Linked DNA regions of Schizosaccharomyces pombe. Each later gene encodes a partner of the first gene's protein in a complex. Each region holds a gene or a part of one and is shown on either strand. Other genes may lie near its edges.

Region 1 (3,552 bases):
GTTGAAGCAAAAAATAAGTTGGATGGAAGGTTCGAAGTACGTATTCGAAACACCGGGAAAAAATCCGTTGAAAATTTAAAAATCCTAATAACTATTCCTCAAGCTCTAAAGAGCGTTACGGTTACCGAGGGAAATTATATTTTTCGTGCTTCCAAGTATACTCATATGGAAGAAGGTATTCTGGAGTGGTCGGTAAAAAAATTAGCTTGGACATCCCCGGCCTTAGTGTTGACAGGATTCCTGGCCCCCTTAAAGAAAGATGCCAATTCAACCGAAGAGTCAAGTAGCTACTCTAAGCTTGAGCACCTTGATTTACAATATAAACTTCAAGGATCAACCCTTCATAATTTTAAAGTAGAGTCATTGAAGATGCTTAATCATCCAGATAAAAAATCTTATAAAGGGGTCAAGCATACAATTATTGCACAAAATGTTTCATTTCGTTTTCGGTAATAATTAATTTACTTTCTATCTACCCGTTTGTTTATTATATATTATTCATATAAATTTCATTTTCTTAGTTATCACTAATGATTATAATAATTATTTTCCACACAAAGCCTCATTCATTGAAACGATACATATAGTCTATATATATTAGGATACACAATTAATGCCAAATGACTTCTGTTAATTTGTAGTTAAATTATTAAGTTAAACGATTTTATCCAAGGACAATTTTTTTGAAATATCTAATAATACAAGCATGTCTTTGAGTATTGCCATTGGTCTATCAATACCAACTAATTCTGTTTGTTGATACATTGTGTATAACTGCTTCAACGTTGTGTAAAATAGCTCTTTATCAAAGTTGCGATCACTTTCACGAAGGGCCGAACCCAAAAATGAGACCCATGCTCGTAGATGTAGCTTCTGTCTGATTTTGTTTTTCGGAAGGGAAGTGGGTAAAAGTTGAGTTAGCTGTTTAGTAAACTCACAACGTGTATGGCGTATGTTAATTCCAATACCTATTCCTTTCATAAGTATATATTGGCTCAGGCAATACCGGAGATTGGAGGCGCCTAAGTTTCCAAAGAAAAGATCTTGTTGTTTCGCATTCAGTTTTGAAAAACGTTCGTCGAGTTTGCTAAGAAAATGAAAAGCGTCTGTCAGATGTACAACAAAAAATCTTCCCTTCGGAAGCATAGCCCATATAAGGCATAAGAGTTTGGCACCTAGGTTTGCTAGTCTTGATGTTCCTTCAAAACTATTTGAACCTCGACTTTCTGTTTTAGCAGGTGCTTTGGACATACTTGTTGCAAAAGGTGATTCCATTGTTTGCTGGGGAAGAGTGAAACAGGAGAAGCAAATTCTGATGGCATCTTGAAGTTCACACAAATCTTCTCCCATGTATTTTTTCATCAACGCAGATCCGTTTTCCTCAGCATCGATCTCTAATATCCTTAACCATATGTCCATCAAGGACATCCAACGTTCAAGGTCAGGAGGACGAGAAGACATGTATGCAATTAGATCCCAATAATCAACATCTTGGGTAAATAAGCATTGGTTGGAGAAAATCTTCAGATAATTTTCTTTAGGCATATCGTTGTCCGATAGATCATTTTCAAATGACCATGCGTCAAAGTTGATTTTGCTTCTGTTCTCAACCACCTGCTGTAATATCCAATTACAGCTTTCTTGAATATTAGAAGAGGTAGGATATTCTGGGTGGACTAGAAGAGTTATGCACATTCGTATATAACAAGCTGGAATTGGTATAGAGGTCGTCGATAGAAGATATTCTAAAACATCTAATGATTTTGGCAACAAGTCTTCTTCAATACAAAGCTCTATTATTGCCTTTAGAGCCGAGTTCATTTTGAAATGGCGTAAGCAATCTTTGCTACTTTATATGTAAAAGAAGCCAGATATGGAAGAGATATCTTATTTCTTAAAACGATTTTCTTTGTAAAAGAGCATTTAACATGTGCCCTATTTACAGTCTTGTGATTATTATTGAATGGTTTGATTCACGAATTTTATATTGTAACAAAATGCAGAATTCTCAGTTTGAAGTTTTTACGCGACAGAAGAAATATATTCAAAAAGAGGGAAAGAGGAGGACCCCAAATGAGCAGTATTTTAAAAGGAAGCTTTCAACGATAAGGTTTGTAACCAAGGAAGACAACATCTGCAAAAATTATTTCGTAAAAAAAAAATTAAAAAAAAAATCACTTTTCAAATTATAAAAACATTATTCTTTTAATGTACTAGCAGATAGTACCTTTGAAAGCTAGTAGATAAAAGTTTCGCTGCTGTTATGAAATTGGTGGAGAGTCCTTGGAACCGTTATTAGTCAGGTATCTAGCTAATCTGATCCTGTCCTCCACCAAGATGGCCGACTTTCAGGATGAATTGTTGGCATTAGCTGGTATTGATGACTCAGATGTTGCTTCAAACCGTAAAAGGGCTCATGATGATTTGTAAGAAAGCAAATTTATCGGATTGACCTTGCTAACAAAACATATTTTAGAGATGATGTGTTGAGCAGCAGTTCAGACGAAGACAATAATGAAAATGTTGGACAGGATTATGCGGAAGAGTCTGGAGGAGAAGGAAATGAGAAGTCGGAAGACGAATTTGAAGAAAAATTCAAAAACCCGTATCGTCTAGAGGGCAAGTTTAAAGATGAAGCAGACAGAGCAAAGTACGTTGATTTTTACATTTTTCATAAAGTTGTCTAACCAAATAAAGGATAATGGCAATGACGGAAATTGAGAGAGAGAGTATTCTCTTCGAACGTGAAGAAGAAATTTCAAAGTTGATGGAAAGGCGTGAATTGGCAATTCGCCTCCATCAGCAAAATGCTCAGTATATGGCGCAATCTACTAGAAGGTCTACTCGTGACAAGCCTTTAACTTCAGCAGCCGCTGGCAAACGTGATAAGCTTACTGAGCTGAAAAAGCGCCGCCAGGAACGTTCAGCTAGAAGCGTCTCTGAAAGAACTAGAAAAAGGAGCCCTGTTTCCGATTATGAAGAACAGAATGAGTCGGAGAAGAGCGAAGAAGAGGAAGGTTACTCTCCCAGCTATGCTGAGGAAAAAGTTGAACAAGTTTCAAAAGATAATGCATCCGCCAATTTGTACGATTTAAATGCAATTCGTCTTGGGCGTAAACATGTCGCGGAGTACATGTATCATCCTATCTTTGAGTCCACCGTCACTGGATGCTTTGTTCGGGTTAAAATTGGTGAGCGTGATGGACAAGGTGTATATCGCTTATGTCAAGTCAAGGGTATTTTAGAAAGCAGAAAGCCGTATCGTGTTGATGGTGTTTTAACTAAAGTTTCACTGGAATGTTTTCATGGTCGCTCGAAAAGAGTGTTCGATGTCAACGTCTTATCAAATGAGCCTTTTTCCGACCATGATTTCCAACGATGGCATCACCAAATGATGGAAGATAAGCTTTCCATGCCCTCTAAAAATTTTGTACAACGAAAGCTGAATGACCTCAGGGATATGAGTAAATACGTTTTAAGCGAAAAGGAGGTTTCTGATATTATTAACAGGAAGAAAGAGTTATCGCGTGTTCCTTCGAACATCGCTGCTGA
Region 2 (4,111 bases), on another chromosome or scaffold:
TCTGTGCTTGGAGGTGTCGTTTTAGTAGGTTTGGGTGGTAAAATTCGTGTTGATAACACTTTGCGTGCTCGCTTAGAGATTGTGAAGGAAGAAGCCCTTCCTGAAATTAGACGTCTTCTCTTCGGTGAAAATCCTAACCGAAAGTTCGATAATTAAATTTTGAGATATCGTCATTTGTTTCTTTCATGACATTAATTTCTTTTGCTTTATCTTATAATCTTTCTCAAGTTCATTTAAAGCATTTATCTATAACTTGTTTCAAATTTTTGCTTCATCCAAGTATTTAATGCTTCAGGCTAAATGATCGCAAGTTCGGCTTCCATTGTTTTCTTAAATGTGGATTGTGTATGATTTCTGCTGATTCTTATCATAAATTATTCCCATAGCTGCTTTCTATTAATCAAGTGGATACAATATCTTTCAATGGATGCTAAGTTTTGACTATCGTAAAAGATGGTAACTTCTTTCTTCTTTTCTGTCCATTTGTAATTCCAAGGGAATTATAATAAGTAACTTTCTTTTAAATTAAACTATGGATTTCTTAGTTAGAAAGTATTATACAATTTGTTGAATTTGCGCCAGCACTGAAATTAATATTAATAAATACACTGATTGTTTATCTTTTGTACGCTTGCCGTTTATTTTTCTTTTTTCCCTTCTTCACCTTTTTAGCTGAAAAGCTTTTGTTTTCTTTCATCGATAAGTTAGAAGTTTTATCCTTGAAATACCTGTCCTTTTGTTTATTATTATTGGGCAAGTCACTTTCAATAATCCTCTCCAATTCTGGTGCTGAGTTTGTATTTAAATAGTAAAGCACCATAAAAAGTCTATGTATGCAATCTTTAACTTCACATCTCGATAGTAGCAAATGGTCTGTTGAACCAGATATTGTTAAATCTATTTTTCGTAATTTTTCCAGTAAGCACTCTAAGCGCTCATTAGTTTTAAAATGCTTTTCATCCACCGCATATCCGAAGGTACGAATCTGGTACAATAAAGTTGTATAGTCATTATTACAGGAAGCGGAAATTTCATCTAGTCGTTGACATAAAGAAGAAAAGTCTGAATCATCATTTTTACTTTGTTTCCCAACAAATAATGTAAAAGCAATCTTCTTTCTGAATTTTTGGCAGGAACGAGACAAAGAAGATAGTATTGTAACCCAAACTCTAGGACTTTCAGACACCTTATGAATATTACTGATCAAAAAATCTGGATTCAATGATATTGGAAGTTCCATGAATTGAGAAAATTGCCATTTACAAAATGAGCCCACTTGATTGTCAATTAAGATTCGACATGCATCCTGAATCATTTCAAAGCGAACAGTGTCGTCGGAGAACCGATACAAAGTTCCACAGCATTTTAGGAAATTAATTACCTTAATTTTCAAATTGCTTTTTAAATTTTCTGAGGCTGACGTACGTTCCAACTGGATTGGTACCTGTCGTTTCGCTAAATCAATGCCAATCATATCTGCAGTAGTCTCAAAAATAAATCGTACAATTTGGTTGAGATTATTAGAGCTGCTTTTATAGCTATAAAAAATCTTTTCTAGGTTAGCAATCCATTCAGAGCATGTTGTGTCTCCTAAAGAGCGGAAAAATTGCAAGCTGCATATTGACAATGCAATATCTAAGGGGACCAATTTTGCCGATAATAAATCACCAAAAGTTGTTGGTATAATTCCTTCATTAAACTCCAAATCGTTATCTTTCAAGCATTCTGCTTTCAGGGTGTTCCAGTCTGGAACACGAGCTTTTGAATTGCTACAATATTCGTACCTAAGGTCGTCATCATAAATAGGGTTAGAACGTAGAACATTCAAAACATTTGATCCAACACTTTTTCCTATTAATTCATCAATTTCATCTCCCGTTTGAAAGGTTTGAGTGCTGTCATATTGCAATAAATTTTGTACTGCTAATTTTCTTCTTTTTGCAACCGAATCGTCAATTGTAGCAGTACTAGAAAGAAGATCAATATTCCATCTGTATGTAGATGAATTAGAAGAATCATTTTTCAAATACTGTTTTCGCGATTGGGCTCTTGCCGAAGGCACCAAAGAAGAGATATCAGGAAGCTCGTCCAACTCTTCAGAATCATCACTATCAAGTATGTGGTCAATTAATTTTGAAGAATTATCTAAATCAGGAAATTTTGAAATGTTATTAGACGCATTCATAGAACTATACCAGCAAAGACACTTTTGATGTGCTTTGGTAAAAGGGTGGATGGATATATAACAAAAATTATGAAATAGTAAATAGTGGAAAGTAAACGTTTATAATTTAATTATATAGCATTATAGTTTGACGACGATTGTTTTTTTGTTGTTTATAGTCTCATTTCATCCAATTTGAGCATTCCAAGCAAATAATATTAAACATCGAGTAAATTATTGATTTTCTTATTAAATGAATAATTTGTTAGTTTATAGCATTTCAACTGCTATTACCGGAGAAATCATAAACATATCCAAGCTGGCTTCGTTGATGTTTACATATGACTTTTCTTAAGCGAACATTCAAAAAAAAAGAATAGAAAAAACCTGTCATAAGCTTTTGTTAACAATTAATGATTTTTACTAATTCTGAGTTAAAGTTATTGGAAACCTTAGAAGAAAGAACACCTAAAACCAATTTAGGCACGTTTTCATTCAAAGAAATCTTTACAAATTACATTAAAACCAAAGAAGCCAAGTAAGGGAGTCAAACGAGTCAAACACAACTCCTAAAGAACAATGGCGACATTCAAACAGGCATTTAATGAAACAATTGCTGAGCAAGTATTATAATACTTGGCCTTATATAAGAAACGTCAAAACTTTTCTCTACACTTTAAATATTTTTGTTTTTGAAAGTAAAAGTATAGCAGATCGATTAAGTCCTTGGAGAGAACATAAGTGCGTTTAAATCATTTTATTCACTATCATCAATACAGTTGTTTACAACCTATAAAAGTATCCCACATATAGCTTGTTCTTCATACTACCGGCTTCGTAAAGGTTCGAGTTACCCCCACATAGACATTCGCAAATACTCTGGGCCTAGTCCTACGAAGTGAATGTGAACGTGAACTAGATTACGACTACAACTAGAAACTAGCGCTATGTGGGGGCCGTACAATGATGATTTATTAAACAATTATACTTCTCTTTTTTACTGACTTCTGTCATGGTTTTAGGAATCATTTAAAGTCGTTTAGTAGAAATTATTCTTTCTTTTTGATAGACACAAAAAAATACTTCGGTGAGAAGTTTAAAAGCGAATAAACGCAAAAAATCAATATGTCTTTTAAAGAAGTATCTACAGAAAATGGTGTTCTAACACCCTTGATCACAATAAAAGAAAAAGCGTACATGATTATTGAGGGACTCAATGAGGAAGAGATAGAGCTGTTAAATACTAGGTTGCCAAAGCTAAGTAAGAAAGCGCTGGCTAGAAACCGATACTCCAACATAGTCCCTTATGAAAATACTCGTGTTCGTTTAGATCCAATGTGGAAAGAAGCATGTGATTACATTAATGCTTCCATAGTAAAAATCCCTTCTGGGAAAACATTTATCGCTACTCAGGTTAGGAATAAAAAGAAATTGCGGGATTGTAAACGGCTTTGGCCTTTTTTCTTTTCATCATTTTTTGTAACATAATTACTAACTTAGTCTTCTTTATTTATATAGGGTCCAACGTCGAACAGTATTGATGTTTTTTGGAAGATGGTCTGGCAATCTGTGCCAAAATCAGGCATCATCGTTATGCTTACCAAATTGAGGGAACGCCATCGTCTGAAATGTGATATCTATTGGCCAGTGGAACTGTTTGAGACACTTAATATCGGTGATTTAAGCGTTATTTTGGTAAAAGTTTATACTTTGACATCATTAAATGAAGTTCAAGTTCGTGAATTTGAGCTGAACAAGGACGGGGTCAAGAAAAAAATTTTGCATTTTTACTATAACGGTTGGCCTGACTTTGGTGCACCACATACCTTCTCACTACTATCACTGACTCGCTATATAAAAAGTCTCTCATATTCTCCGGACTTTGAAACAGCACCCATTATAGTCCATTGTTCAGCGGGTTGTGGCAGAACGGGAACTTTCATGGCG

Evidence for each region. Proteins that work in one complex are often made in the same cells at the same time.
Region 2: nse5 (region 1) and nse6 share a complex: the UniProt entries of both Schizosaccharomyces pombe proteins name them as parts of the smc5/smc6 complex.

Annotation. Positions count from the first base shown.
Region 1 is NC_003423.3:1,256,172-1,259,723, reverse strand, and holds nse5 (Smc5-6 complex non-SMC subunit Nse5), read right to left. Parts: upstream 1,822-3,552; coding exon 655-1,821; 3' UTR 532-654; downstream 1-531. Other genes in the region: AP-3 adaptor complex subunit Apm3, read left to right, coding at 1-453; prf1 (RNA polymerase II-associated Paf1 complex protein), read left to right, coding at 2,338-2,426, 2,477-2,650, 2,698-3,552. UniProt on the Schizosaccharomyces pombe protein: Acts in a DNA repair pathway for removal of UV-induced DNA damage that is distinct from classical nucleotide excision repair and in repair of ionizing radiation damage.
Region 2 is NC_003424.3:5,295,549-5,299,659, forward strand, and holds nse6 (Smc5-6 complex non-SMC subunit Nse6), read right to left. Parts: upstream 2,233-4,111; 5' UTR 2,186-2,232; coding exon 617-2,185; 3' UTR 501-616; downstream 1-500. Other genes in the region: vma4 (V-type ATPase V1 subunit E), read left to right, coding at 1-156; protein tyrosine phosphatase Pyp3, read left to right, coding at 3,290-3,577, 3,683-4,111. UniProt on the Schizosaccharomyces pombe protein: Acts in a DNA repair pathway for removal of UV-induced DNA damage that is distinct from classical nucleotide excision repair and in repair of ionizing radiation damage.